Macaca mulatta: one gene and its partners. The protein of the gene in region 2 purifies or fractionates together with the protein of the main gene of each other region. This does not show direct contact. Links are inferred from orthologs where the notes say so. Each region holds a gene or a part of one and is shown on either strand. Other genes may lie near its edges. The genes, in order: RPS28, NPM1 and GNL2.

The links.
Region 1: the proteins of NPM1 (region 2) and RPS28 purify together in Homo sapiens (affinity purification with mass spectrometry; 3 studies listed by BioGRID and IntAct, with this or other methods). This does not show direct contact. The link is inferred for Macaca mulatta from reciprocal best matches to the Homo sapiens genes NPM1 and RPS28.
Region 3: the proteins of NPM1 (region 2) and GNL2 purify together in Homo sapiens (affinity purification with mass spectrometry; 3 studies listed by BioGRID and IntAct, counting the BioPlex papers as one, with this or other methods). This does not show direct contact. The link is inferred for Macaca mulatta from reciprocal best matches to the Homo sapiens genes NPM1 and GNL2.

Annotation. Positions count from the first base shown.
Region 1 is NC_133424.1:9,162,685-9,172,706, reverse strand, and holds RPS28 (small ribosomal subunit protein eS28), read right to left. Parts: upstream 1,383-10,022; 5' UTR 1,354-1,382; coding exon 1,315-1,353; intron 1,229-1,314; coding exon 1,181-1,228; intron 941-1,180; coding exon 818-940; 3' UTR 802-817; intron 628-801; 3' UTR 501-627; downstream 1-500. Other genes in the region: NDUFA7 (NADH dehydrogenase [ubiquinone] 1 alpha subcomplex subunit 7), read left to right, coding at 1,526-1,576, 1,978-2,027, 6,261-6,410. UniProt on the Homo sapiens protein: Component of the small ribosomal subunit. The ribosome is a large ribonucleoprotein complex responsible for the synthesis of proteins in the cell. Part of the small subunit (SSU) processome, first precursor of the small eukaryotic ribosomal subunit.
Region 2 is NC_133411.1:180,255,590-180,266,477, forward strand, and holds part of NPM1 (nucleophosmin), read left to right. Parts: intron 1-3,979; coding exon 3,980-4,037; intron 4,038-4,674; coding exon 4,675-4,761; intron 4,762-6,285; exon of another isoform or gene 6,286-6,301; coding exon 6,302-6,403; intron 6,404-7,381; exon of another isoform or gene 7,382-8,692; coding exon 8,693-8,767; intron 8,768-10,888. UniProt on the Homo sapiens protein: Involved in diverse cellular processes such as ribosome biogenesis, centrosome duplication, protein chaperoning, histone assembly, cell proliferation, and regulation of tumor suppressors p53/TP53 and ARF.
Region 3 is NC_133406.1:203,199,862-203,210,749, reverse strand, and holds the start of GNL2 (nucleolar GTP-binding protein 2), read right to left. Parts: upstream 9,380-10,888; 5' UTR 9,256-9,379; coding exon 9,192-9,255; intron 7,331-9,191; coding exon 7,246-7,330; intron 6,293-7,245; coding exon 6,198-6,292; intron 4,312-6,197; coding exon 4,172-4,311; intron 1,277-4,171; coding exon 1,092-1,276; intron 1-1,091. UniProt on the Homo sapiens protein: GTPase that associates with pre-60S ribosomal subunits in the nucleolus and is required for their nuclear export and maturation.

The DNA of each region.
Region 1 (10,022 bases), on a different chromosome or scaffold from region 2:
CACCTGGTGAAGGAGAATGCAGCGACAATGGAGAGAACCCCCAGGTTCAGTGAGCTGCCCCGTCTGGCTCACTACACCTAGCTGTGGGGAGATCTCCTCCTCAGTCAGCTCAGTGTTTGGCGCACAGAATGGTCCAGGGTCCTCTGCTCAGAGGCTAACACTGGCCGAAGAGAAAGGCAATTTCAGTTGGGGTGACTGTGACAGGAAGGGGCTCACCCTGGCCCCACCAAAATGAGGTGGGGACCAAGGAGTGATATAGCCCTGTTTCACCCACTCTCTGAAACTTCTTTGCTAATAAAACATTCCTACTACGCTTGTGTTTTGTTCGGGGTAGAGGGTGCACATATACAAATACGACCCCCCCACCTCAAAAAAGAAAAGCTTCGTTTGGCAAGACCCCACGGCCAGGATGTCCTGAGTGAGGAGGATCGGTGACCACCTGGGAACCACTCAAGAAAACTAGAGAAACCCTAGTCGCATAACCCAGACAAGAACCCAAGTTAACTTGAAACACAAACGCTTTATTTAAAGGAGCATCTCAATTCCGCGTGGCGGGCAAAAAATAAAGGAGCAGATTGTGACACACCAATCCCATCGGCCAAGTGGTCGAACCCAACATCCAAGACCCTGTAAACAGAACCAAACATGAGATGCTGACAGGCCCTGCAGCAATTGGCAAACTCCCGCCTCCCTCTGGTCAGTCTCTGTAGACTGTGCTTCCCAAACCCTCTCACCCTGGGCTTAACGAAGCCTCCCTACCACCAACCAAGGGTTTATCAAAGGGGTGTCCTCTGCACCCACCAGCGAGCAGGCAAGCTCAGCGCAACCTCCGGGCTTCTCGCTCTGACTCCAACAGGGTGAGCACGTCGCCCTCGCGCACGGGGCCTTTCACATTGCGGATGATAGAGCGGCTCGTGTCGTCCATGAATTCCACGCGCACCTACGGGTCCCCACCAGGGAGGGGAGGAAGAAGTTAGGGCGAGCCGCGGAAAGGCACCGCGAAGTGGGAAGGAGATACGAATTCAGAGAACGTGTAGGGCCCAAAACACAGATCGTTAAAGGGAACCATCAGAACCCTGGGATGAAATGAGCATCGGTTCCCGGATTCCGGCTGGCAGGGATTAGGACAGGGTAGCGGTTTAGGTCCCCGGCAGTCGGCCAAATGCCCCCACCCGATTACCTGCGTGCACTGTCCCTGAGAGCCGGTCCTGCCCAGGACCTTAGTGACCTGGAGGAAAGAAGCTGGGTTCAGACCTGGCCCGTTCGGCTCCTCCACTCCCTTCCCCTGCCCCCAAATTCGGGCCCCCACCTCACCCTGGCGAGCTTGATAGGCTGCACACGGCTGGTGTCCATGATGGCGGCACAGCGGCTGTCTGGCGGAGAGAAGTCACGTGCTTCGTCGAGAGACTTTATAGGACATCCTAGCCCCGCCTACTCCTGTCTCGCGAGACCACACCGCGTCTTTCCCAGCAGCCCCTGCGGTGGAGACGTCACTGGCGGCGCCCTTCAGCATTTCGGACGGAAGATGGCGTCCGCCACCCGTCTCATCCAGCGGCTGCGGAACTGGGCGTCTGGGGTGCGCGGGGCGGACAAGGCCGTACCATGGGGGGCTTCGGGCTCCGTGTTTCTGGACCCGCTCCTGCTCCTCACCTCCCTCCTAAACCGGGACCCTTCGCTGTCCCCGAATCTCCCTAGGAACCCCCAACTCGTGACCCCTTTAGCCCGGGACCCTCTCCTCTCCTGGGAACCACTCAGGCCTGGGATTTCCCCAGTCCCCGACCTTCTTAGCTTTGGATCTTGTGGGCCCGGACCCCGGCTTTCCTCTTCACCTGCAGGACCCACATCCCTTTCCCCGAGTGTTCATCCCCTGCCTTCCCTCAAAATGCGCATCCCCGGGCCATCCCTGGTCTCTCGCCCTGTCCTTTCCTTTCTATTGGGGTGCCTTGCAGGCCGACCTCCCCTTTCCTCTTCCCACAGCAAGACCTGCAGGGGAAGCTGCAGCTGCGCTACCAGGAGATCTCCAAGCGGTGAGCAGGCCCCGCTCGCTGCCCAGCCTCTGGCTCTGTCCTTTCTCCACCAAAAACAAAATCTATGTTCCTTTAGACCCCTGAAACGCAGGACTGATATCCTGCCACCAGTCCCCTGCCAGGCTGTGGAGGCAGAGGTTTGCCTTTAACCTTGCTGAACTCCGGAGACAGCCCTCCTGGAACAGCGAGGCCGGGCGTGCATTCTGAGTGGGAATCAGGCTAGATTTGCAGTGCTCAGTGTGACCATGTTAGTCAGTGTTATCCCCAAGCTACAGATGAAAAAAGAGGTCCAGAGAAGCTAAATCATTTGCCTGAAGTCACTCAGAAGCTAGAAAGTGGCAGCGGGGACTTGAACCCAGAAGTGTCCTGATTTCAGACTCATTTATATTAAAATATTAGTTGATATTTACAAGCCCCTGTCATGTATGACCTCAGCCTTGGGTTTAACTTTGTGAACCAGGAAAGTTCTTATCCACATTCCTTTCATGGACACCACATCCTAGGGAGAAGCTTAGTAGGGAAACAAACACAGCAGATAGTATTGTTCTGGAATACTTTGAAAACAAAACAAAATGAGTGGAAGCTGGAGGGTGGCCACGTAAAGTCAGATGATTGGGAAAGATCTTTCTTCGGGAATGACAGTTAAGTCGCCTGAATGATGGGAAGGACCCATTCAAAGAATAATTATTAAAAAAGCATTCTGGCCGGGCACGGTGGCTCATGCCTATGATCCCAGCACTTTGGGAGGCCGAGGCAGGCAGATCACGAGGTCAGGAGTTTGAGATCAGCCTGGCCAACGCAGTGAAACATAGTGAAACCCCCTCTTCGGGAAAAATACAAAAGTTAGCCGGACATGGTGGCGAGCACCGGTAGTCGCAGCTACTTGGGAGGTTGAGGCAGGAGAATCGCTTGAACCTGGGAGGTGGAGGTTGCAGTGAGCTGAGAACGCACTACTGCACTCCAGCCTGGGCGACAGAACAAAACTCTGCCTCAAAAAAATTACAAAAAAAAAAAAAAAAAAAAGAAAAGAAAAAACATTCTGAGCAGAGGGAACAGGAAGGGCTAAGACTGTCAGGCTGGACAGAGCCTGAGTAGGAAGGAGGCCAGTATGGATGGAACCCATTGAGGGAAAGGGATAATGGTATAGTCTGTGAAGTCAAAGGGATAGGCAGAGGTAAGGCAGTCATTGAGGATTATAATGAAAGGAAGAAAAATAGCATTAAAATAACCAAATTTATGTGAATGCCTACATGTTGTGACTAATTCCAAATATTAGAAGTATCAAATTTTTTTTGTTTTCAACTTTAATGTTAACTTTTGGGGTACATTTGCAGTTTCGTTACAAAGGTAAACATGTGCCATGGTAGTTTGCTGCAAAAATCAACTTATCACTTAGGTATTAAGCCCGGCATCCATTAGCTATTCTTCCTGATGCTGTCCCCGCCGCCCCCACAATCCCCCAGTTGGTTTTCTATCAGGGTAGTTGTGGGCCAGTTGAGGAAATGGCTTTGTGAAAGTTTTGACTTTTTTAGGATGACGGCGCCCTCTAGTGATTCATCTGGATGTTTGTTTTTGTTTTTTGAGATTGAGTCTCTGTCACCCAGGCTGGAGTGCAGCGGCACAATCATAGCTCACTGCAGCCTCGAACTCCCAGGCATAAGTGATCCTCCTGTTCCAGCCTTCCAAGTAACTGGGACTACAGTCACATGTTACCGTACCTGGCTAATTTTTAAAATTTTTTATAGAGAAAGTCTTATCATGTTGCCCAATCTGGTCTTAAACTCCTGGCCTCTGGCCAGGCACAGTGGCTCATGCTTGTAATCCCAGCACTTTGGGAGGCTGAGGCAGGCGGATCACAAGGTCAGGAGTTTGAGAACAGCCTGGCCAACATAGTGAAACCCTGTCTCTATTAAAAATACAAAAATTAAGCTGGGCGCGGTGGCTCACGCCTGTAATCCCAGCACTTTGGGAGGCCGAGGCGGGCGGATCACGAGGTCAGGAGATCGAGATCATGCTGACTAACACAGTGAAACCCCGTCTCTACTAAAAACACAAAAAATTAGCCAGGCGTGGTGGCGGGCGCCTGTAGTCCCAGCTACTCGGGAGGCTGAGGCAGGAGAATGGCGTGAACCCAGGAGGCGGAGCTTGCAGTGAGCCGAGATCGTGCCACTGCACTCCAGCCTGGGTGACAGAGCAAGACTCCGTCTCAAAAAAAAAAACAAAAATTAGCTGACATGGTGGCGCTCGCCTGTAGTCCCAACTACTTGGGAGGCTGAGGCAGGAGAATCGCTTGAACTTGGGAGGCAGAGGTTGCAGTGAGCCGAGATCGCACCACTGTACTCCAGCCTGGCGACAGAGCAAGACTCCATCTCAAAACAAAAAAACAAAACAAAACAAAAAAAACCACCCCTGGCCTCAAGCAATCCTTCCACCTTGGCCTCCCAAGGTATGAACCACCACATCCAGCCTCCTTAAGCAAAGTCTTTCACGTAATATATTGCTTTTAATATTAAACATTTTTTACTTTATGTTTCTTATTTTTAAAAAATACAATGATTGGTGGCTCACGCCTGTAATCCCAACACTTTGGGAGGCCAAGGTGAGAGAGGATAACTTAAGGCCAGGAATTCGACATCAACCTGGGCAACATAGCAAGACCCCCAACTCCACAAACACAATAGAAAAATTAGCCAGATGTGGTAGTGTGTACTTGTAGTTCCAGCTACTTGAGAAAAATGAGCTGGATGTGGTGGTGTGCACCTGTAGTTCCAGCTGCTTGAGAGGCTGAGGTGGGAGCATTGCTTGAGCCCAGGAGATTGAGGCTGCACTGAGCTATGATCACGCCTCAAGCAATCATATGATTGCATATATCATCCAGGCTGCAGTGCGTATGATCACTGCCTCAGAAAAAAATTTAATTCTGGCAAAACAGTTCCCAGACAAAAAAGTAATTTAGAAACATGGCTAAGTAGAAACAGATCAATTTACGGTTTTTGCTCTTCTCTGCCCCCTCTCTCTGGAAAGCCCCTCTTTTGTTTTGAGCTTTTTTTTTTGTTTTTGAGATGGAGTCTTACTCTGTCGCCCAGGCTGGAGTGTAGTGGGGTGATCTCAGCTCACTGCAACCTCTGCCTGCTACCACCATGCTTGGCTAATTTTTGTATTTTAGTAGCGATGGGGGTTTGCAATGTTGGCCAGGCTGGTTTCGAACTCCTTACCTCAAGTGATCCACCCACCTTGGCCTCCCAAAGTGCTGGGATTACAGGCATGAGCCACCGTGCCCATCCTTGTTTTGAGCATTTCTTTTGTTTTGTTTTTTGTTTTTGAGACGGAGTCTCGCTCTGTCGCCCAGGCTGGAGTGCAGTGGCCGGATCTCAGCTCACTGCAAGCTCTGCCTCCCAGGTTTACGCCATTCTCCTGCCTCAGCCTCCCTAGTAGCTGGGACTACAGGCGCCTGCCACCTCGCCCGGCTAGTTTTTTTGTATTTTTTAGTAGAGACGGGGTTTCACCGTGTTAGTCAGGATGGTCTCGATCTCCTGACCTCGTGATCCGCCCACCTCGGCCTCCCAAAGTGCTGGGATTACAGGCTTGAGCCACCGCGCCCGGCTTGAGCATTTCTTTTAAGGCCTCAGGCTTCCAGGTAAATCCAGCCCAGGGTTTAGTTCAACCCAAGACCGAGCTCTGTTCACCCCTCTCTGGGCTCCAGAGAGGAGTTGCCTGGCCACATGGTGGCAGGAAATGCAGAGATCTGGACAGGTTCCAAGGCCAAGGTGTTCTTTGAGTAATGGGCCTTGATCCTAGCAGGGTTCTTCAGAGACTTCCTGAGATAACAGGAAACGCAGGGCGTCCAGAGCCTGGCCTTAGGGGAAAGAGCCACTCAGAGTGGGCTAAATCAGGTGAGGCTGGCTGCCAAGCCCAGCCGTGGGGTGGGGGGCGTGGGAACATGTCCTGGGCCTTGGGAACCTCAGAAAAGGTCCTCTGTACCCATCACATTCGGGACTGGTGGGGTCCCTGGCATCGTCACATCCAGAGCAGGGGCTGCCATCTGCTTCTGGCCCCAGGACCCCTCCCCAGGCATATGTCCCTGCCAGTGTACCAAGGGACACCCCCAGCCTGTGGCCTATCCCAGTGGCTGGCTGTAGATCCTACATTTTGTGACCGAAGTGACAGGGACCCACAGCAGGGCCATGACAGTGACTGTCCCTTTGCTTCAATGCTGCTGTTTTTTCCCCTCAGAACTCAGCCTCCTCCCAAGCTCCCTGTGGGTCCTAACCACAAGCTCTCCAATAATTACTATTGCACTCGCGATGGCCGCCGGGAATCTGTGCCCCCTTCCGTCATCATGTCCTCGCAGAAGGCGCTGGTGCCAGGCAAGCCAGCAGAGAGGTGAGGATCTCCACCGTTAGCTCACCACAGCCCCCACGGCCCCCTCCTGCAACCCACTCTCTTTCCCCAACTTGTGGGAAGGGTGCTTGTCAAGATCCTACTCAGTAAGCATCAATTGCATCAGGAACGGTGCTGCTGGGAGCTTTTTGTCCGAGAGCTCATTTGCTTGTTTTTAGAGACAGAGTCTTGCTCTGTCGCCCAGGATGAAGTGCAATGACGCGATCATTGCTCACTGCAGCCTTGAACTCCTGGGCTGAAGTGATCCTCCCCTCCTTCCTTGGCCTCCCCAGTAATTGGTATTACAGATTAATACCACCTTGCTGGGTTAATTTTTTTTTTGAGACAGAGTCTCACTCGGTTGCCCAGGCTGGAGTGCAGTGGCGTGATCTTGGCTCACTGCAGCCTCCGCTTCCCAGGTTCAAGTGATTCTCCTGCCTCAGCCTCCCGAGTAGCTGGGATTACAGGTGCCCACCACCACGCCCAGCTAATTTTTGTATTTTCAGTGGAGATGGGGTTTCACCATCTTGGCCAGCCTGGTCTTGAACTCCTGACCTCATGATCCACCCAGTTCAGCCTCCGAAAGTGCTGGGATTAAAGGCGTGAGCCACCGTGCCTGGCCTGTTTTTTTTGTTTTTTGTTTTTTTTTTTGAGACAGAGTCTTGCCATGTTGCCCAGGCTGGAGTGCAGTGGCATGATCTCGGCTCACTGCAAGCTCTGCCTCCCAGGTTGACGCCATTCTCCTGCCTCATCCTCTCATGTAGCTGGGACTACAGTTGCCCACCACCACGCCTGGCTAAGTTTTTATATTTTTAGTAGAGATGGGATTTCACCATGTTAGCCAGGATGGTCTCGATCTCCTGACCTCGTGATCCGCCTGCCTTGGCCTCCCAAAGTACTGGAATTACAAGTGTGAGCCACTGTACCCGGCCTTCATGCTGGGTTAATTTTTAAATGTTTTGTAGAGATGGGGTCGTGCTCTGTTGCCCAGGCTGTTCTCAAACTCCTGGGCTCAAGCGATCCTCCTGCCTTGGCCTCCCGAGTAGCTGGGACTACAGGTGAGAGTCACCATGCTCAGGAAGAGCTCATTTAGTCCAACCCAGTGGAGGGTAGAAGTTAGCACCTCAGCCAGGACTGGGCATCCTACAAAACATGAAGTTCCGGGGTCCCTCCAAGGGCCCTGTGAAAAGCTGAGACATTACTGTTTATGTAACTATGAATTCTTATTTTATTTATTTATTTTGTGTTTTTTTTTTTTTTTTTTTTGAGACGGAGTCTTGCTCTGTCGCCCAGGCTGGAGTGCAGTGGCTGGATCTCAGCTCACTGCAAGCTCCGCCTCCTGGGTTTACGCCATTCTCCTGCCTCAGCCTCCCGAGTAGCTGGGACTACAGGCGCCCGCCACCTCGCCCGGCTAGTTTTTTGTATTTTTAGTAGAGACGGGGTTTCACCATGTTAGCCAGGATGGTCTCAATCTCCTGACTTTGTGATCCGCCCGTCTCGGCCTCCCAAAGTGCTGGGATTACAGGCTTGAGCCACCGCGCCCAGCCTATTTTATTTATTTATTTTGAAACAGTGTCACACTCTTGTTGCACAGGCTGGAATGCGGTGGTGCGATTTTGGCTCGCTGCAACCTCCACCTCCTAGGATCAAGCAATTCTCCTGCCTCAGCCTCCCAAGTAGCTGGGATTACAGGCGCGTGCCACCATGCCAGGCTAATTTTGTATTTTTAGTAGAGTTGGGGTTTCACCATGTTGGTCAGCTGGTCTTGAACTCCTGACCTCATGTGATCTCCTGGTCTTGGCCTCCCAAAGTGCTGGAATTACAGGCGTTAGCCACCGCGCCTGGCCATGTACTATTCTCAGAGAGGGAGTTGTATAACCCTTGGATTCCTCTCCAAAACTAGTTTGGTCCCTGGTTTCAGGTGCCTTCTCTTAATTAAATGGGGACTCTAATAGTATCTACTTCAGAAAGCTGTTATGAGGGTTAGTCCTCATAATTAATATTTGTAAACTCTTAGAAGGGAGCCTGGCACAGAGTCAGTGTCCTGCCTACCTCCTAATAACTCCACCAGTTAGATGGTGATGGCCCCTCTTGCAGAAGAGGAAATCGGCCGGGCACGGTGGCTCAAGCCTGTAATCCCAGCACTTTGGGAGGCCGAGACGGGCGGATCACGAGGTCAGGAGATCGAGACCATCCTGGCTAACACGGTGAAACCCCGTCTCTACTAAAAAATACAAAAAACTAGCCGGGCGAAGTGGCGGGCGCCTGTAGTCCCAGCTACTTGGGAGGCTGAGGCAGGAGAATGGCGTGAACCCGGGAGGCGGAGCTTGCAGTGAGCTGAGATCCGGCCACTGCACTCCAGCCTGGGCGACAGAGCATGACTCCGTCTCAAAAAAAAAAAAGAAGAAGAGGAAATCGAGGCTCACAGAAACCAAGTGACTGGCCTGGGTCACACAGGCAGCGGTAAGCAGAAGCAGGATTTCTTTTTTTTTTTTTTTTTTGAGACAGAGTCTCGTGCTGTCGCCGAGGCTGGAGTGCAGTGGCACGATCTCAGCTCACTGCAAGCTCCGCCACCTGGGTTCACGCCATTCTCCTGCCTCAGCCTCCCGAGTAGCTGGGATACAGGCACCCTCTGCCGCATCCGGCTAATTTTTTATTTTTAGTAGAGATGGGGTTTTACCATGGAATCGATCTCCTGACCTTGTGATCCGCCCGCCTCAGCCTCCCAAAGTGCTGGGATTACAGGTGTGAGCCACCACGCCCGGCAGCAGAAGCAGGATTTCAAACCAGTTTGCCTGGATTCCCACTGGGGTCTGGGTTCTACAGACGACTCACGGTGTGGGCAGTCTCCGCCTTCTTGAGCCTTGGTTTCTTCCTGTGTAAAACAGGGATGCTAGACTTGCAGTGTGCTGAGATCTGAGAGGTGATGAGGCCAGGCAGGGCCTGCTCGGTACTTAGAACTCTGTGAATAGGCCAGGCGCGGTGGTGTGTGCCTGTAATCCCAGTGATTCGGGAAGCTGAGGTGTGAGGATTGCTTGAGTTCTAGACCTGTTTGAGTAACACAGCGAGACCCTGTCTCATTAAAAAATTTTTAGGCTGGGTATGGTAGCTCACGCCTATAATCCCAGCACTTTGGGAGGCCGAGGTGAGCAGAACACTAGGGGTCAGGAGATCAAGACCAGCCTGGCCAACGTGGCGAAACCCTGCTTCTACTGAAATACAAAAGTTAGGGGCGCTGTGGCTCTTGCTTGTAATCCCAGCACTTTGGGAGGCCGAGGTGGGTGTATTGTTTGAGCCCAGAAGTTCAAGACCAGCCTGAGCAGCACGGTGAAACCCCATCTCTACAAAAAAATACAAAAATTAGCCGGGTGTGGTGGCGTGTGCCCGTAGTCCCAGCTACTTGAAGGGCTGAGGCAGAAGGATCTCTTGAACCTGCGAGGTCAAAGAAGCTTCATTAAGCTGAGATCGCACCAGTGCACTCCAGCCTGGGTGACAAAGTGAGACCCTGTCTCATAAATAATAAGCAAGAAAGAAAATACAAAAATTAGCCGGGAGTGATGGTGCACACCTGTAATCCCAGCTACTTGGGAGGCTGAAGCAAGAGAATCACTCAAG
Region 2 (10,888 bases):
TCAGGTGATCTGCCCACCCCAGCCTCCCAGAGTGCTGAGATTACAGGTGTGAGCCACCACGCCCTGCCAGTAAAGCTGTTTTGATAGTAGTTTTGATAGCTGTTTTGATAGTAGTTTAATAGACTTGTTTTAACGAATAAGAAAAAACGTTTAAGGAAAGCATTCTCATCTTGTTTCTAGCACAGGGGAGGCACCTGCAGGGATTGGGTTCTAATGCCAGAAACTTGTAATGACAAAATCACTGTTAAAAAGCACTTTAAAGGCTATTCGTGGCAACTTTTTTAAGTTAGGATACTTTTTCTAAATACAGAAATTATTTCTTCAGTATTGGAAAGATAGGTGTTTCTTACATGAAGTTGCCGTATTGGGATTTAGAGGCCAGTATGTTCAGTTTTTTGAATTAAACGTGAACCACTTAGTATTTGCTGATACAGACTGCTGCCTGACTTGCCCTCTAATGACTTGATTGGATTACTCCCCTCCATTATTTACCTATTTAACGTGTAGAGTTTACACCTGTAATCCCAGCACTTTAGGAGGTCGAGGTGGGCGGATCACCTGAGGTCAGGAGTTCAAGACCAGCCTGGCCAATATGGTGAAACCCCATCCCTACTAACATACAAAGAGCTGGGTGTAATGGTCGGTACCTGCAATCCCAGCTACTACTGAGGGTGAGGCAGAATAATTGCTTGAACCCGGGAGGCGGAGGTTGCAGTGAGCCGAGATCACACCATTGCACTCCAGATTGGGCAATAAGAGTAAAACTCAAAAAAGAAAAAAATAGTGTACAGTTCAGTGGTTTTAGTGTGCTTAGTTGTGTAGCCATCACCACAATCAATTTTAGAACATTTCATCACCTCAATGAGAAATCGTCCTCTATAGGTATTACCCCTCATGCTCCTCAGCTCTAATCAGCCACAAATGAACTTTGTCTGTAGGTTTCCTGTCCCTCATATGTTGCATGAATGGACTTCTGTGACTGTTTTCCTAGCACAGTGTTTTCAAGTTTCGTCCATGTGAAAGCATTATCAGTACTCCATTTATTTTTATGGTTGAATACATTGTATGGGTATATTATTTGGTTATGCGTCAGTTGGTGAGCATTTGGGTTGCTTCTACTTGTTGACTGCTATGAACGCTTGTGGACATGTCATTTTTTTTGGGTGTACACCTAAAGCAGAGTGGCTGACCCATTGTATTCCCACTAGCAGTGTATGGGGCTTCTGATTTCACTACACCCTCACTTGCCATTATCTGACTCACTAATCCTGGTGGTATGAAGTGCTAGTTGTGGGTTTGATTGCATTTCAGACCTATGGACTATTATTAGTCTTTATTAGAGCATCTTTTCATGTATTCATTGGCCATATATCTTTGGAGAGATGTCTTTACCCATTTAAAAAATCCAGTTACTTCTCTTGGTCTTTACTGAGCTGTAAGAATTTTTTTTTTTCCTATGATTTTTGTATTTTTAGTAGGAGAAGGGGTTTCACTGTGTTGGCCAGGCTGTTGTTAAATGCCTGTCTTCAGTGATCCACCTCCCTCTGCCTCCCAAACTGCTGGGATTACAGCTGTGAGCCACTGTGCCCTGGCAAGAATTCTTTTTTTTAGACAAGTCTCTTTCTGTTGCCCAGGCTTGAGTGCAATGATGTGATCTTGGCTCTTGCTCACTGCAACCTCCTCCTCCCTTGTTCAAGCAGTTCCCCTGCTTCTTCCAAGGATTACAGGCATCCCCCGATCCCTTCCATGCCCGGCTAATTTTCTGTATTTTTAATAGAGACTGGGTTTCACCATGTTGGCCAGGCTGGTCTTGAACTCCTGATTTCAGGCCTGTCTCGGCCTCCCACAAGTGCTGGGATTACAGGCGTTGAGCCACTGCACCGGGCCTAAGAATTCTTTATACATTCTGCAAACAAGCACCTTATCAGACGCATGATTTGCAGATTATCTTCCACTATTCTGTGAATTGTCATTTAACTTTCATGATGGTGGCCTTTGACCCAAGTTTTAAATTTTTATGTCTGATTTCTTTTGTTGCTTGTGCCTTTGGTGTCAATCCTAAGAAATCATTGCTAAATTCAAAGTTGTGAAAATTTACCCCCTTAATTCTGAGTTTTGTCCTGTAGCTTTATTTAGCGCTTTGTTCCATTTTGAGTAAATATCTGTGTATGGTGTGAATGGAGGGGTCCAAATATAGACTTTGGGGTGTAGATGAGCAGTTTCCCCAAATGATTTGTTCCAAAACTTTTTTCCCCATTGAAGGATCTTGGCAACCTTTAAAAGAGTCACTTACGGCCCGGTACGGTGGCTCACGCCTGTAATCCCCGCACTTTGAGAGTCCCAGGCAGGTGGATCACGACCAGGAGATAGAGACTATCCTGGCCAATATGGTGAAACCCTGTCTCTACTAAAAATACAAATTTTAGCTGGGCATGGTAGCTTGTGTCTGTAGTACCACCTACTCAGGAGGCTGAGGCTGGAGAATTCGCTTGAACCTGGGGGGCAAAGGTTGTAGTGATTAGAGATTGCGCCACTGTACTCCAGCCTGTGACAGAGTGAGATTCCATCTCAAAAAACAAAAAAAAATCACTTACTATAAATATACGTATTTATTTATGGTCTGTTTGTTGATATATGTGTCTATCCTTAACAGGTAAGAACAGTTACAACACTGTTCCTTTGCAGTTTTTTTTTTTTTTTTTTTAAATGAGTCTCTCTCTGTCATCCAGGCTGGAAGCACAATGGTGCGATCTTGGCTTACTGCAACCTCCGCCTCCCGGGTCTTCCTGCTTCAGCTTCCTAAGTAGCTGGGATTACAGGTGCCCGCCACCACTCCTGGATAATTTTTGTATTTTTAGTAGAGACTGGGTTTCTCCCTGTTGGCCAGGCTGGTCTCAAAACTCCTGACCTCAGGTGATCCAGCTGCCTCGGCCTCCTAAAAAGTATTGGGATTACAAGCATCAGCCATGGTGCCTTGACCCCTTCGTAGGTCTTATAGCTGATTTTTTGAAATCAAGTGTGAGTTCTCTAGCTTTGTTCCTTTCAAGATTGCATTTGGCCTCTTTGGGTCCCTTAAGTGTCTTTTTTTGTTTTTGTTCTTTGAGATAGGGTCTTGCTCTGTCACCCAGGCTGGAGTGCAGTGGCAGAATTACACAGTTACAGTCTCAAGTAGATCCTTCTGCCTTAGCTTTTCAAGTAGCTGGGACTACAGGCACACACAACCACGTCTGCTAATTAAATTTTTTTTTTTTGTAGAGAGGGTTCTCATGTTGCCTAGGCTGGTCTCGAACTCAAATGAGATCCTCCCACCTCAGCCTCCCAAAGTGTTAGGATTATAGTTGTGACACACTGCCGACTCTTGGGTTTATATATAAATTTTAGGATCTATTTCTACAGAGAAACCAGCTTGGGGAGTCTTCTAAGGATTGTATTTAACCTGTGTATTTGGGGAGTGTTGCCATCTTGGCAATATCTGAACATGGAATGTTTCTATTTAGGTCTTTAGTTTTTTTTTTTTAAACATAAATTTACTCTATTTGAGTGTACAGTTTAACTGTACATTACTTAAATATACATATATTATACATTGGCATAGTGTATATTCATGCAAAACTACTTATTGAGCAGCTTTGTTTCCCAGCCCCTAGTGATCACAATTATACCTTCCATTTCTTTTGAGTTTGACTACTTTTGGATACTTAATGAATAGAATCATACAGTGTTTTTTTTGTGGGTGGCTTATTTTACTTTGTTCAAGGTTCAGTCATATAGCATGCAAGAGGATTTTCATCGTGTGTGCGTAAACATTTTCATTATTCAGCCATTTAACAGTTGGGTTGCTTTCATCTCTTGGCTGTTGTGAACAATGAATGCTTCGATTAACACGGTGCACAAATAATCACGTCAAGGTCCTGCTTTCAATTCTTGTGTCTACTCCCAAATTTTGAAAGTGCTTAATGTCTTGATGTTTCATTTGTAGTGATGATGATGATGATTTTGATGATGAGGAAGCTGAAGAAAAAGCACCAGTGAAGAAAGTGAGTAGATACAATGCTACAAGGTTGTTAAACTAACAATAGAAATAGTAATTTTTTAGTGCTATTTGCTTGTTTTGTAGTTGAGGGAAGCTGGTGTGGGAGATCATCTCATACTGAAAATTAGTTCTGAGGAGGACTACAGAAAACTTATAGTGGGGAATGGTCTGTTTTCTTTATCCATGTAGCCCTCCACCCAATTTGTTAGTCTTGTGTAACCTTTTATTCAAGTGGTTGCTGCTTTTTCTTTTCTTTTTTTCTTTTTTTTTTTTTGAGACGGAGTCTGTCACCCAGACTGGAGTACAGTGGCGCAATCTCGGCTCACTGCAACCTCTGCCTCCCGGGTTGAAGTGATTCTCCTGCCTCAGCCTCCTGAGTAGCTGGAATTACAGACTCAGGCCACCACACCCAGCTAATTTTTGCATTTTTAGTAGAGATGGAGTTTCACCATGTTGGCCAGGCAGGTCTTGAACTCCTGACCTCATGATCTACTTGCCTCGGCCTCCCAAAGTCCTGGGATTACAGGCGTGAGCCACTGCGCCCAGCCTGTGGTTGCTGCTTTTCTTACATGGCTTGGACAGTACTGTTTGCACTGTTGCTGGGGTCAGGGACAGTGATTAAGATAAATTTCTAATTGCAGTCTATACGAGATACTCCAGCCAAAAATGCACAAAAGTCAAATCAGAATGGAAAAGACTCAAAACCATCATCAACACCAAGATCAAAAGTAAGTGGTTACATTTACATATGGGTCTCATTGATACAGTCGGGGAAAAAAGATTCTACTGTTGTGGAAGAATCTAGTGTGTCTGAAATTTCATAGGCCTTTATAGAACCCCTGTAATTGCTGTTTTAAAGTTTAAATCAGCTTGCTGCAGCCGGGCGCAGTGGCTTACTCCTGTAATCCCAGCACTTTGGGAGGGAGGCTAAGGTTGGTGGGATCACCTGAGGTCAGGAGTTTGAGACTAGCCTGGCCAACAACGTGAAACCCTGTCCTTACTAAAAACACAAAAATTAGCCAGGCATGGTGGTATGTTCCTGTAATTCCACCTACTCAGGAGGCGGAGGTTGCAGTGATTGTACCACTGCACTCCAGCTTGGGCGAAAGAGTCAGACTCTGCCTCCAAAAAAAAAAAAAAAAATCAGCTTGTTATGTGTTATAGGTACACACAGACAAACATACTAAGTAATGTGCTGCTGGGGTTCCAGTGGCGGGGGGAACCAATGGACTTTTTTGAGAGAGACGGACCCTCGCTTTGTCAGTGAGTCTGGGTTAGAGCTGCATGATCTCGGCTTGCTGCAACTTTCACTTCCTGGGTTCAAGCGATTCTCCTCCCTCAGCTTCTCAAGTAGCTAGGACTACACGTGTGTGCCACCAGGCCCAGCTTATTTTTGTATTTTTGAGTAGAGGTCGGGTTTCACTATATACGTTGGCCAGGCTGGTCTTGAACTCCTGACTGCAGGTGATCTGCCCTCCTGGGCCTCCCAGAGTGCTGAGATTATAGGCGTGAGCCACCACGCCTGGCTTGAATTTTTTATGATTGTGAAGTCAATAGTTGTTTCCTGTAAGGAATCTTTGTTGAAAAGTATACCTGCATAGAGTAGAGATTCTCAACCTTGGCTGCACATTAGATTGAAGTAGAACATTTAGGGCCAGACAGGGTGTGATGGTCTCCTTTCTGGCCTTACCCCCTTCCCTGCAGAAAATGGAATTTAAAGGAGAAAAACTTTAAAAGAACCCAACACTGTGCTCTGCTTATGGAGATTATCATGAAATTGGTCTGGGGTGGGCCCCAGGCATCAGACTGCAATGACTTTCTTGCTTTATTCTTAGGGATCTTCTGATTTCATTTTTTGAACTGAGTATTGTGCATTAAAAAGTGAACTCCCAAGTTACTCCTTTTTTTTTTTTTTTTTTTTTTTTTTTAAAAAAAAGACGGGTGTCCTACTCTTGCCCAGTTGGGAGTACAGTGGTATGATCATAGCTCTCTCTACAGCCTCCAGCTGCTGGGCTCAAGCAATCTTCCCGCTTTAGCCTCCTGAGTAGCTGGGATTATAGGCATATGCACCACCATGCCTAGCTAATCTTACAAGAAAGATTTTTAAGAACAAAATTGTATGGTGTGAATTTATTGATAATTCCAGTTGTATAATTAGCTTTATAAGGGAGTTTTGTAAGACTATTTGAGGAAATCCAGATAGAATGGGTTTTAAATTAGGAGTTGTATTTATTCTTATGACCTTTTGGAAGTTCATTTCCTTTTCAGGGACAAGAATCCTTCAAAAAACAGGAAAAAACTCCTAAAACACCAAAAGGACCTAGTTCTGTAGAAGACATTAAAGCAAAAATGCAAGCAAGTATAGAAAAAGTGAGTAAAGTTATTTAAAAAAAAACTTTCTCCCTGCTCAAATTGCATGTGTCTAGTTTGCGTAGACTTGAATGTTTCTTGTTTTTTTTGTTTTGGTTTAATGTACTTGCCCTGTTCGTGGTATGAATTTTTTTAAAAATGAATTATAAAACATTTATAATCGTGTCTATGGTGATTTGCATATGCAAAATTAAATATGCCTTATTTTCCATTATAAAAGGAATGTAGTGCACTGGTTGCAAGATAACATTCTGACCTTCCATGTTAAAATAGATCAGTGAGAACCCTTGACCTATTCTGGTTGTAAGATATGCTAGAGAACCAACAGAGGGCGTATGAGACTTCATTAAAATTGCAAACAGCTGGAAAAGTAGACTGTTTGGTTGGTATTATAGTTAAATATTCATGATTGACCCTAGTCAGAAGTAATTTTCAGCAGATTGAGACATTTCTGTTTGCCCTTTACACCAAGTTGTCACCAGTTAAATACGTGTAGTAATAGATTTTGTGAATGACTAATAGGTTTAAATCTAGTTTCCTTTTGTCTTAAATAATGGAAATGTGGGAAGACGATTAGGTCTCTTGTCTGATTGACTTGAGTAGGATATGAAATAAATGGTTTAAATGCCTTGGAAGCACATTTGAGAGAAGCTTTAATTCAATGAACAATACTTTTAGACTGCAATTATTGAGAACAAATGTGGGGTGGTAAGGAAAAATTGCCAACTCATTTCCCCATGTTTTTCCTGTACTCTATAGATTTTTTGTTGGCTTGTGTAGATTTCCTTGTACAGTGATAAGTCCACTGGAAAAAAAATTTTAGAACTGGAACATATTTCTTGTTTTAGTCACACTGGAAACCCTTTAGCCTTCCTGCTTATCAGATTTTTGTCCCTTGGATACAATGCTGAAATGACATATTTTAGATTCCCCTCCCCTCCATTTTAATATGGTCCTATCTCCTTGGTTTAATTGCAGGCGCATTGAACAGCCCTGGGCACTACATGTAAATTAAGCCCAAAGATGGGGAGAAAGGAAAAGGAGAGACAAATATAGTCCATACTGAGTGTCATCAACAATCCAGACTGAAGTCTTCTATTTTAATCTCAATCCCCTTTTCTGATTTGCCACCCATGCCTCTTCAGGCTGGAAACAATCTCACTCTTGGTTCCCTAAAGCACTTTCTTCTGACTGCTGTGATTCAGTGAACCTTGCCCTTTGCTTTCTATTACTTGTGCATTTGCCTCACCTCTGACAATGTTTTAAATCGCCTTTGTATCTCCTTAGCTGCTCAATAAATATTTGAATGAATCAATTAAGAATGTATGTGACAATAATTTTGAAATGGAAATTGAGGTTTATTTTACTAGGTTATTGGAGGCAGTTAAGTTTCTTAATGCTATACTTGATTCTGCCAAGGTCCCTTGGACATTTGAAAACCTTTTCAATCTTTTAAAAATGCATAAAAGATACTTAGAGGGAAAGGTATTAAATTTAATAAAAACAGATATATTCAGTGCTTTAAGGTAATTCCAAAGTAGTGATAAATAAACATTTCAAGATATTTGCAATAGTAATGTTTTGAAATTTTGGTGACAAAAAGTTACAGGTATCGCCAACACTGTTGTAGTTTCTTGCCTATATCCATAATTTGAAGGAAAATGGTAAGAGTGATTAGTGAAGTGTAATTACTGTAATTTCTCCCCCATTGTAGTTTCTTGCATATATCCGTAATTTGAAGGAAATGGTAAGAGTGATTAGTGAAATGTAATTACTGTAATTTTTTCCCCATTCAACTTTATATATCTTTAACTGATGACCAGATCATTGTTGTTCTGAACTGGTTTGTGATCAACAAGTGTTTTGTGGGGTTTTGTTTTTTTTTAAACAACAGTTTGGGTCACTTGACATGGTTCTCCAAAGGAGTGTTACAGGTTGTGTTTGGTTCTGGGTGATAAAACCGGCTTGTTAGATAATACAGATAAGCAACCGAGTTGCCATGTCATGTTTGTCTGTAGAATCTCAAGTGTAGCTTTTATTTTATGTTCCTAGAGAGGTCGTCTGGGAAGATTTGACCCTTTGGCAAATCTGTTTGAATAGAGATACTAGCCATGCTGCCCAATAGGGCTTTCTGGCCCTGAAAAAGACATTGAGTATTCTTGGAAAGTTGAAGGGAAAAGGAGTAAACTGCTCTATGTAGTAGCATTGCAGATTATTGAGGAATTTTCTAAAGGTATCTCTCTCAGTGTATTTCTCTACTTACCTGTAATAATGCTTTTGTCTCAATAGGGTGGTTCTCTTCCCAAAGTGGAAGCCAAGTTCATCAATTATGTGAAGAATTGCTTCCGGATGACTGACCAAGAGGTAACTGAATTTTCTGGGGACAAGATGAAGTCCAAGTTTTTCGTGATTTATTATGATTCTGCCTTTACCCTTTTTAAGTGTTGGCTCTTTTTAAAAAGTTCCTAGCCACAGATAATTCATTTAATGAAATAATCTGAAAATTCATGTATTTAATGAAATACATGAAGAATACAGTTGGCAGTCTGAGACGATAACTTTAGTATATTTTTTCCAAATTTCCTATAGTTGGCAAATTATTTCTTGGTTATTGAATTCAGTTTTACTTTTTTGGTACTATTTTGGCTAAGGAAATTGCTGTGGTTTTCCTTGTTGCTCCATTTGGCGGCTTGGGGCAGTCTGGTCTTTGCTTTTTTGGGAGTTGGTAGAGATCTTTTTTTTTTTTTTTTCCATAGATCTTATGGGAAATACATTTTGCCAAAATCATCCTAACGTGAAACCTGGAAGCAAGACACTAAATTGTGGCTACTACTAGATATATAAGCTTGAGTTTAGCTGTTAGATTTTACAATTAGTACGAAAGTCTTCGTCAACATACAGTTTATGCATTTATTTTTGCTCTTATTTACAGTTGACTTTTTTTTGTTTTTTTTTTTTTTTTTGAGACGGAGTCTCGCTGTGTCTCCCAGGCTGGAGTGCAGTGGCGTGATCTCGGCTCACTGCAAGCTCCGCCTCCCGGGTTCACGCCATTCTCCCGCCTCAGCCTCCCAAGTAGCTTGAGACTACAGGCGCCCGCCACCACGCCCGGCTAGTTTTTTGTATTTTTAGTAGAGACGGGGTTTCACCATGTTAGCCAGGATAGTCTCGATCTCCTGACCTCGTGATCCACCCGCCTCAGCCTCCCAAAGTGCTGGGATTACAGGCTTGAGCCACCGCGCCCGGCCTTACAGTTGACTTATAAGTGTAAGGAAAATGTAAAAGTGGTTAAATAGGGACGTTAGGTAGGTATCGTGTAGAGAACCGATGGCTGCATTTAATGGTTTTTAGGTTTCCTGTAGTCAGCTTTTTTCAGAAAATTTGGCAATTAGCTGGTTTTTTTCTGCCATAATATTTAGCAGGTCAGTTATTTTAATTGCACCTTAATTTTTAGTTTTTGGGTTTGTAAAACCCTGATTTGGTTAATTTTGACTTGAGCTTTGCTAAAGTTGCAGTGATGGGCTTTAAGATGATCAGATTCAGTCTTTGATTTGGTTAATTTTGACTTGAGCTTTGCTAAAGTTGCAGTGATGGGCTTTAAGATGATCAGATTCAGTCTTTTGGTTGCTATTCTGTTTTTTCTCTACATTTGAATCCCAAAGTTTAAAGTGTGAGTTTTGGGAGTTTATTTGGCATACTAAACATTGATTGAGCATAAGTTATTTTGAAACTTTATACAACAGGTTATTTTGAAGCATTATGCAACAGGTTATTTAATATTGAAAATAGTGGAAAGTCAGACATAAATAACCAATATGTACTAACAAGTAAGCATAAGAGATGCATTTCTTCAAGTACAGCCAAGGAAAGTGATAATTTAATGATTAAGTTGCAGTGGTCGTCTGTACTTTATAACAAAGGCTTGTAGCTACAAAGTTTTGTAGCTATTAAATTACTGAACCAGCACTTCTACCAGAAGTATTTTGTTTTTAAAAGTATTTTTGCCCAGGTTGGTCTTGAACTCCTGGCCTCAAGCAGTCCTCCCAAGTTGGCCTCCCAAAGTGCTAGGATTACAGGCACGAGCCACCTTGCCCAGCCTACCAGAAGTATTATCTTGCTCTAGAATTGAAAGTATTCTCGTGTCAGAATGAAATTTCTGCAATAAATAGTAAATGTTTAATAACTTGAATTACTATTAGAGATTATCAAAACTAAATGCTTCCCGTCTTTGACATAGAGATGCAAGATGCAAGCAGTGACAATGTATATTTGTTTGAACCTGATGATGAGAAGATCTTTGGCTGGGCGTGGTAGTTCATGCCTATAATCCCAGCACTTTGGGAAGCAGCATGGCAAAACTCCGTCTCTACTAAAAATAATAAATTTAGCTGGGCATGGTGGCGTGTACCTGTAATCCCACCCACTCAAGAGGCTGAGGCAGGAGGATCGCTTGAACCTGGGAGGCAGAGGTTGCAGTGAGTGCCACTG
Region 3 (10,888 bases), on a different chromosome or scaffold from region 2:
TCCTCCCCAAAACAAACAAACAAAAAGACAAAACTCCACCGCCTTTACGTATGCTCACAAATTTTCCACATTTTCTTCAAAGAGTCAAAGAAACCTTAAAGGCCATTCATGAACTCAGAGTCTTCCAGTTAAGGAAGCCCCGCATATTCACGGAGGCATTAACAATGCTTAATATCTGCAATGGGGTTATGAGTTATGTTCTTTGTGTTGCATTTTCCAACTTAACTATATTTCCTAATTTGTCTATGACTGGTGTATTACGATTATAAATGAAGAAAATCTTATTTATTTTGGGAATGAAGAGAGACCTTTATCAAGCCGCATTAGACATCTTCAGTCTAGCCCCAATTTCACCAATGTCTCTAGCCTGAGGGAAGAAGACAGCTCCATATATAAATTAAAGCACTGAGCTTCACACAGGCAAAATAACTTGAAAGAAAATGTTTTGTGGCAGAAGAGCAAATGATGAGACTTGCATGAACTTCAAAACTGTACCTCGGCCAGGCGCGGTGGCTCACACCTGTAATCCTAGCACTTTAGGAGGCCGAGGTGGGTGGACTGACTGAGCTCACGAGTTCAAGACCAGCCTGGGCAACACGGTGAAACCTTGTCTCTACTAAAATACAAAAAATTAGCCGGGCATGGAGGCAGGCTGAGGCAGGTGAATTGCTTGAACCTGGGAGGCAGAGGTTGCAGCGGGCCGAGATCGTGCCACTGCATTCCAGCCTGGGCAACAGAGCGAGACTCTATCCACCAAAAAAAAAAAAAAAGGCCAGGCGCAGTGGCTCATGCTATAATCCCAGCACTTTGGGGGCTGAGGTGGGCGGATCACAAGGTCAGAAGATTGAGACCATCCTGGCTAACACGGTGAAACCCTGTCTCTACTAAAAATACAAAAAATTGGCCAGGCGTGGTGGTGGGCACCTGCAGTCCCAGCTACTCGGGAGGCTGAGGCAGGGGAATGGCATGAACCAGGGAGGTGGAGCTTGCAGTGAGCCGAGATTGTGCCACTGCACCCCAGCCTGGGCAATAGAGCGAGACTCTGTCTCAAAAAACAAACAAACGAACAAACAAACAAACAAAGAAACTACCTCACACCAGTGTCTTCAGTTACCAAATCACGATCCTTGCCCTGGTCATAGCTCTCAGTGGACATCTCAGCATTTTCGATAAGAGACTGCATATCACTTGCAAATAAGTTTGGTCGCTTCCTCTGTGACTTAGGGCCAAATGTAGTTTCAAAACTTTCAGTTTCAAGAATGTGGACCTTCGATTTCTGAAGAGAAACAAGAATAACAGGTAAAATTAAGAAAAGCACTGAGGAAAAGCGAAAAGCTAAACACCCACCTAGGAAAGACTTTCTGATTTTATTTTTCCAAGGTTCAACCCATACCCAAATCTATAAAAACATGGTTTCAGTCTGGTTTCAAATCAGAAATACTTGTTGAAATGGCACAAACACTGGTACCCTTATTCCGAAGTTCTGTAAGCTTCCTTGGAGAGATACAAAAGTAATACAAATAAAGTAAATATGAATAGTTGTGCAAAAACTTCCCAAAAACTCTGCTTTATTTCATTTATCATAAACTTTAGTCAAATGTAATTAAGGCTACAGCGATGAAAATTAACTAATCTTTTCCACCATTTTTTTTAGCTTTCAAACAAGTGCATAAAATTTGCCAAATTCATAGATTTTATCAAGGACAATCATACTCAAATTTGTGAGGTTTTTTTAAACCAACTGTAAATGCCAACTTTTTCTTGGAAGTTAATTTCTTTCATGGCTAAAAGGAATTGTTTGTTTTGTAAGATGCATTTTAGTTTCAGATAACATTTTCCCTAATTTAGGTAACGTTTTTATTAAATGCACATGGCAAGTCTTCAGATGAAAAACATCTAGCCAAAGCCCAAAATAATAGTTTAGATGTGATAAAAGGAACCTGATACTAACTAGAACTTGATGTGCCTGTAAAGGAGTTACAGGCATAAGAATTTCTGAAGCAAGATAAAAGTCAAAGTTTGAGTTAGGATCTATCACATAACAGAATGTTAACAGCCGGCAGACAATATCAAAAAAGAAAAAAGAAGAAAATCACCCTTTTCCCCCTAGCACAAGCTCCTCTGTAAGCACCACTACCAAAAGCTGTGAGGATGATGGAGCAGCCCCCATGGCTTCTGAACTTTAACGGATCCCCTCTTCCAACTTCTAAAGATCCTTAAACTATTTTCATTTTCTCAGATGCTCTAACCCACAACTCAGTTTAGTTTTAGTCACTATGTTCCACTCGGGAGCATCCCCAAACAGAAGCAGCTCATTTTACATGAGAAACAGGTTCTAATGTCACTGGGTAAAATCAAGTGTGACCAAAATTATCTTCAAAATCTCTTAACCTATAAGTTACAGCACACAAGGCTTTGCCTATAAATCTACACATTAATAAGTATAATACAGTAATATACAGTATATAATAAAGTACATATGCAAAGTTACAGTACTCTTACTGTATTGCTACAGAAATACAGTAGTTCTAAAACACATATAGATGAATATGCATATCTGATCTAACTCCACTGTGCAAAATAATCTCAGAATTAGATTTTATAAGTAATAGATATCATACTAAAATAAAATAGGTAAGGTTTTTCAAGACCAAAGCAGAAAACGCATCAATTACTCTGAGTAGCTTTCTGCATCAACAAAGAAGCTGACTGGTGCAACTGTAGACCCTTCATTCTACATACCAGATACTTAAACACTAAATTTTAGAAGCGCTGACAAGAACAGGCAACAAAGCAATAAATCCATGATAGAGCCTCTCTGTTCTTCTCATAAACAAGATTCAATAGTTGCTTAAAAGATGGCTTTAGGGAGAACAGACAAAGAGAACAAGGGAAATGAGCAACTTGTCTGTGGTTCATGAATTACACTCATGTGTTCCCCTGAAAGAAAACAGTCATTCCACTAATAGGTGCCATTCTTCTAGTCCATCATAAAACAAAACATAACTGACAAAACCTGAGGCAATAACCAGGCCTTAGTTTTTATTTTGTTCTGCAAGTAAACACTTTTCTTTGAACTATTTAACCCACGTACGCATGTCAATGTTTTTCTCCCCTCCTCATATCGGAACTGAAGCTTACGTAATGGTTATATTTCTGGGAATTATTATTCAATGCAAGTAAAAATGAGCAGACAAACATCAGACTCTTTCTTTGTTCTGTGTGAAACTCATTCCATTCAACCCAGATTGAATCCTTACCGTACTTCAAACTTCAGCAATTGACAACCAATGAGACCAGCACCCCTTCCTTCAGCTGAGAAGAAATCTCAAGGATCTTACAAAAGCTGAACGTACCCAACACCAAAGTTCTACCAACTCAATCCTAATTCTACGCTGTCCCAATGTTTGATGGAATTACCACTTAAAACAAGTTTGCCTACCAAAATAAATAATAATAAATAATATTACTAATATCTGTTATCAATTTAGCTCTTATTAGGTGGTGTGCTATGTGCTTACTACGGACCAAGTGCTTTACAGATGTTTCATCTGTAGCCAATAACCCAAGGAGGTGGGTTATCTATACTTTCTTTTTCTTTTTAGACAGTTTCGCTCCTGTTGCCCAGGCTGGAGTGCAATGGCACGATCTTGGTTCACTGCAATCTCCGCCTCCCGGGTTCAAGCAATTCTCCTGCCTCAGCCTCCCGAGTAGCTGAGATTACAGGCATGCACCACCATGCCTGGCTAATTTTGTATTTTTAGTAGAGATGGGGTTTCCTCTCATTGGTCAGGCTGGTCTCAAACTCCTCACCTCAAGTGATCCGCCCGCCTGGGCCTCCCAATTTACAGGTGTGAGCCACTGCGCCCAGCCTATTTATACTTTCAAAGCAAAGAAGTTCAAGTTCATAGAGAAACCCAACTAAGGGTACAGGAACGGATAGAGCAAGGATTAAAATTCAGGTCTCAACTCCAAAACCTGTGCTTTGATCCACTACACTACCATACTTCATACTAAACGTGAAAAGATGAAAACAGAGGTCTTAGGAAGTTCATCATTGCTACACTGAAATTGCTATTTTCTAAGAAAAACAAAAGACAAATATGTTAGAGAGGGAGCTGCAAGGAGTCTGCCCAGGAAATTCCATCGCCAGGGATATCCTACATCTTACATGAGGCCGGATTCGATCATGGAGAAGAGACATTGGTAACTTGCTTTGCTTCATGACAACTTTGTATGGATCCTTCATAACTGTATCCATTTCCTCTTGAAATTTTTGTAATGATGACTGCTTAATCACACGTGTGTTTCCTGTTTTACAAATAAAGAATGTTGCCACTTAATACATATTTGCACATTCATCTTCCACTGACACGGTGAAAGGCAAGATTTTAAATTACCCTCACTCACCCAAGTACCTGATCCATCCATCCCTTGGAGCTATTTCCAAACTTAAAAGAGGAAAAAAACCCAAAAAACTGCCTCTCCTGCACTTGCACACTATGAACTATTCCACCAACCCAGACCCACAAAGGGTTTCAATAGTTTTCCAAGCCGTTTCCTGACTAAATGAAACTGAGAAATAAATAGCGTGGAATGGAACTGAGATCTGACAAATGTCCTACTTCCTGCTAGATCTGGCAGAGAAACTTGGAGCCAATCACAGCTGATCAGTCAGTATAGACAGAGAATCTTGAAACACTGAAACCTGAGTCATAGTTACCACTTTTAGGGTTATGAGGATCCAAAGGGACCTCAATTGGTTAATCAATTGGTTAATGATTCATTAACCAATGAATCCATGCAAGGGAACAAGACAGAGCCCTGCTTGTTCCACCTGGAAAACACCTTGTGAGGGAGATCCTGAAAAGCATTCAATTAAACAGCATGCTGCAGCATGAATGCAAAACAGCAAGGTGGTAATGATGGTAGCAAGGAATGCTTATATTATACTCACTATTTGCTAGGTACTATTCTAAGCACTTTATATGTATTTACTTTTTTTTTTTTTTGAGACAGAGTCTTACTCTGTCACCCAGGCTGGAGTGCAGCGGCACAATCTCAGCTCACTGCAACCTCTGCCTCCCAGGCTCAAGGGATTCTCCTGCCTCAGCCTCCCAAGTAGCTGGGATTACAGGTGCCCACCACAATGCCTGGCTAATTTTTGTATATTCAGTAGAGATGGGGGTTTCACCGTGTTGGCCAGGCTGGTCTCGAACTCCTGACCTCAAGTGAATCACCAGCCTTGGCCTCCCAAAATGCTGGGATTACAGGCATGAGCCACTGTGCCTTGCTTGTATTTACTCATTTGATTACCACGACAGTCCTGTGAGATAGGTTTCATCTTATTCTCTGTTAGGGATGAGAAAACTGATGAACAGACAGACTTAATAACTTGCACATAAATGACAGAACTAGAATTCAAACCCAGGCAGTCTAATCTGGAGTCACAGTACCCGGCAGCCATGCTAAATGCTTCTCTGCAGAGTTTTCTTTGACACCTTTCTGTGTTGCAGCTCCTAGGAAGTATCCTACCAAAAGTATAAGAGACTCAAAGGTAGCTGCCATCTGCCCCCAAGGACAGAGGTCAAACACCAAGCAAACACTGGGGTCTGATCATCTAAAGTGCCCATACATTACCAGTGGCTAAGGGCAAAGTTAAAAGCCCAGACTGAAATGGAACAGGGAGTTTCCCAAGGAAGAAGCCGTGATCACCCTGTGACTGAAGATACTCTATTCACTGTTGGAAAGTTCAACAGTGAGACTCTTTAATTGTCACCCAAGTTCAAATAAAAACTCCATTAAGAAGTGTTTCAGAGGAACTCTGGGCTAATGCACTTACCCTGAAGGATATATGCACAAACACCTACAAGGCCACCTCTCAAACAGTATCTCTCCAGGCAAGCATAAAAGATCAAGATGAGCATTCTAAGGTCTGTGAATCCTAGTCATTAAGGACGGTCTTATCTGCTTAAGAGGGTTCAATTACAATTACTAATGGTGAGCGCTCTTCAAAAAGAAGTTATTTATTAAATCTACCACCACTACTTTTCCCAGTACTTTTTCTTATCCCTTTCTCAGATAATCCTTGACAGTTCCACTCACCAAAAACTCCTATCGTTTAGATATTTAAACATCCTAGCCGTTTCCATTCAGCATACATTTTGTAGAGCAAAGTAGCAGGGGATAATACTCACCAAACCATTTAATATTTGGCTCTACTCTTGCTACTGTGCCAGAAGCCACCGTTGACTGATATTGCAGGGGTTTAATTATTTTACCATGACTGTTCCTAAATTGAGGAAAGAACAGATATTGGTTGACAACAGAAGAATGGCAACAGCAAAGTTTGATTTACAGAATATATTTTCCATCAAAAGGACTTCTTACTTTGGTTTTAAACAATCATGAAATACCAATTCCAGTAAACACAAAGTACTCCTACATTTGAAACAGATTGCCCAAAAGCCATTTAACCTCTTGCAACAGAGCACGTAATGATTTCTGCTAGATGAATAACAACGGTGACGTTTTAAAAAATCTGTTTACTGTTTACTTTAAAAAAAAAAAAAAACACATACTTGAGTTTTTTTGGTAACTATTCGAAGGCTGTTTTAGATGAATTGTTCAAGTAGAGGGTGATTTACGCTGGGATTCCAAATTCTAAAACAAACTGCAAAGTAGATGACTAACGCATAATAAGTTAATTGACATTTGTATTTTAGTCACATCTTCTAGAACAGACAGAGACGGAGAATCTAATTACCAAACAAACTAAGACCAGCTAGCGGAATGCCACACTCAGCAAATCCCTGTGGTAGAGGCTACCTCAGCAGAACTCGGAGTTGTGATGAGTGTCCAAGTGCCACAATGTTGTGATCTACATTTTGGCATTAAAAAACACATTTTCTGGTGGCTTTCCTACCCATAGTCCTGTAGGTTTTGTTATATCTGGCCGTATTTAACGCTGAGATTTAATGCGCCATTTGTGAAGGTCAGGGCTGTGAGAAACAAGACCTCTACTTTTGAGTACTGTGAAACCATCACTATTTCACCACCAGCTACCCATGCCCTTAACCAAAAATTAACCATTTATCCTAACAACATTCATATACAATTATATTCGAGAATATATAACTCTTATTTGGAGGAAGTGGGGGTGAGAACAGCAAAGGCTTAATCAGTCTCAGCTAGCGGTCAAGGGCATGAAGGAAAAGAGAAAGGATGACAGCACCCAATGCTCACCTGCGCTCCTTTTGCCTATACATATTCAGGCGCCGGATGGTGGCCCGGTCCCTCATGTTTTGGCCTCCTGCTCCCTGCACTCGATCTACAAAAGGCAGAAGTACACAGTGCACTATTTGATAACCAACCAGTATAACCAACAAGTCATTGCTTAAAATGCAACAAGTAGTTCACCCAAATTAGGTAAGAAACCACCAACCACAAAAATCTCTACTTTCTCCATGTTGTTCCAATAATTATTACTTGAAGCTATATGGTATGACAAAGCTGACCCAACCTTTGATCTTCGATAGGATTGTATTTGAGAAGAAGAACAGCTAATATTTTTGAGCACTTATGATGGCTATCCACATTATAGGCATCATCTCATTTAATCCATACAATAATCCTATAGATATATTATCTCCATGCTGCAGAGTGAGAAACTGAGGCACAGTGGTCAGACACCTTGCCCAAGGTCAAACCGTTACTAAATGGCAGTGCCAGAATTTGAACACGATCATTTTATCACATCTGTGGTCTTAACCACGAAGATACCTACCTCTGTGCCTCCATTTAACAAATATGGGGTGCCTCCTCCATGCAAGGCACCATGGAGACTATAATTTTGATATATATGTGTTCCAGTTTCTTAATGTTTGATTTTTTGTTTATTCAACACAGCAATTCTTGCCTTACATCTCAAAGAGAAAGAGAAGAACAAACGAGCAGGGTAATACTAGCCTAGCTTCTCATTTTGGGAGCCATTTATTTATTTATTCTTCCCGAAACGGAGTCTTGCTCTTTCACCCAGGTTGGAGTGCAGTGTTGCGATCTCAGCCCACTACAACTTCCGCCTCCCCGGTTCATGCGATTCTCCTGCCTCAGCCTCCCGAGTAGCTGGGATTACAGGCATCCGCCATCATGCCCGGCTAATTTTTCTATTTTTGTAGAGAGGGGGTTTCACCATGTTGGTCAGGCTGGTCTTGAACTCCTGACCTCAGGTGATCCGCCCGCCTCGGCCTCTCAAAGTGCTGGGATTACAGGCCTGAGCCCACACCCAACTGGGAGCCCTTTAAATTACCTGTCTGGTCCTGAAGTGATGCAGTAGAAGACAGACTGAAACCACAGCCCATTGGCTCTCCTACTCTCTAACAGTAGAGACTGGCGGCTCTACTACTGCTCACTAACTGTTGCAGTTATGACAAGCCACTTCCTGCATTTTGATTCAGTCTCTTTACCTGTAAAATCATAATCTCTAAGGGACTTTTGGGGTCTAACATTCTGAGATTCCAGTTTGTGCAAAGTGAATAATTTATTATCAATCCGGAGTAAACATTCAACATGCATTAAAATTGTCAAAAATTCTAAATCATATTTTAAAACAAAGTTTTATTAATTAAACTTGAATGGAAAGAACTCTCCCACAGGATGTCTTGTTAATCCTACAGGTGGAACTTCGCCAAAACTTACACACATCTCCAAAACAGCCTTACTGCAATGATCATATTGACTTCTTTGTAGGGTTCTCTAAGCACTTTACCAGATAGAATAATTCCAAGGGCAAAAACTACAATCCCTTTCTCATTTTAAAGGTCAAAGTTAAGGTGACCGGCAAATATGATCACGTGTAAAAGGCCCGATTACCCATTTTCAAGCTGACTTTCTCTGCATCTCTCAACTGGAGAGGACCCGAGGCTGCCAGCCTGAGTGTTCACTTTCCCTGACTTTAGACCAGTTGACTACACTTTGGCCTGCCAGGCGTGCAATGTCAGCCCTCCTCAGTGCCCCCCTGAGAAGAAACCATCACAAATATTGCTTTCCTTTTTCCCTTTTCATCCCCAACAGCCACCCCGCTCATAGTCATTCTAAGCAATGCCACCCAAGTAACCCTCCTCCTCCAGTCCTCGGAGCCCTTCCCTATACTTCCTCCAAGCTCCACCCTCGATCAGCCCTGCCGCCTGTACCCGGGTTTGTGCTGGCCTTGGACGGGTTGATGGTGCTCCGTCCTTTGTACTTGGGCTTCACCATCTTGGCGACGAGACCGGGACCGGAGTGCGAGGTCCGGCTTACGTGGGGAAACAAATTTAGATCTACCCAGGCCCGGCCGAAGCGACCCGCGTGAACCACGCCGGACCACGTGTGCACGACCTACGTCACTTCCGCTCGCGCCCCTCCCTGCCCCAGAGCGACTTCCTGTGAACGCGCGCCACTATCGGCCTGGCTCCTCCCCCGCCCTAGCCACCCAGGCGTCGCCCTGCGTGGAGCCCCAGCCCGCTCCAGCCCTAGCAACCGCCAAGCTGCCCCTCCATAGCAACCGCCTAGTTACCCTGAACGCGTGGCCCAGAGCTCCCAGTTGGGTCCACCTCCAAATAAAGAAGCCTCTTCCCCTGCCAATGACACAAGCTTAAGTTTGTCTTCTGAATTTGTCTTCTAAGTCCTTCCAAAAGTTGCCGACCACACAGCAGCCAAATATCCATTAGAAGGTGTCATCCTCTTCCTTACAATTCCAGCGGCTTATCATCACTCTTAGAATGACAGGTAGGGGAAAGGGGAAGGGAGAAACAGAGAGAGACAGAGATTGATTCAAACTTTTTGCCATCCCTGCAGGATTCTGTGATCTGGCCTCTGCCTATTTATCTGATCTCATGTGTACCTCCCTCCCTCTGGTTATTCTGACATTTACACTGGATATTCTCTCTGCCTGAATCACTCTTTCCCAGAATCTTTGCATAGGTGGTCATTCAATCCTCAGCTCAAATATCACCTATTGGTAGGCCTGCAAGAATTAGCAAATAGAAATACAGGACACCAAATTAAATTAGAATTTCAGCGGAAAAAAAGGAATACATTTCTTTAGTACACCTCCAATAGTGCCTGGAAAATACTTACACTAAAAAAGTATTCATCGTTTGCCTGAAATCCAAATGTAACTGTACGTTCTGTATTTTATCTGGTGACCCTTCGTACTGTGAGAACTCTTTCCTGTCTGATTTGTCTAAATCAGCCACCTTTCACCCTTTCACAGTTACTCTGTTACAGTATTCTGTTTTATTTATTTCATGGCATTTATCACTAGTTGAATTTTTTTTTTTTTTTACCAGTTTATTGGCTGCTTCCCTCAAACTAGAATGTAAGCTTCTTGAAAGCAGGGACCTTGTAAATTTGTTCACTGCTGTGTCTTTAAGACTTGAATAGCACCTGAAACAAAGGACTCAAAAAATATTCATTAAATGAAAGGATGAGTAGATGGGAATGTCTCTTGCCTTGAGGGTGAAGGAAGGCATTAAGACCCAGTGATTTCTGTTTCTACCAGCCAAAATAAAGTTTCTAGATGCCAGTGTTTCAACCAAGAAGCCCTCTTTTTAAAATTTTTTTTATTTTTTTGTTTTTGTTTTTGTTTTTTGAGACAGAGTCTCGCTCTTGTCGCCCAGGCTGGAGTGCAGTGGCAGGATCTCGGCTCACTGCAACCTCCGCCTCCTGGGTTCAAGCAATTCTCCTGCCTCAGCCTCCCAAGTAGCTGGGATTACAGGCACACGGGCCAGGACAGAAATACCTTCTGTCCCTCGAGCTTTGCTGGTCTCAAACTCCTGACCTCAGGTGATCCACTCGCCTCGGCCTCCCAAAGTGCTGGGATTACATGTGTGAACCACCGCGCCTGGCC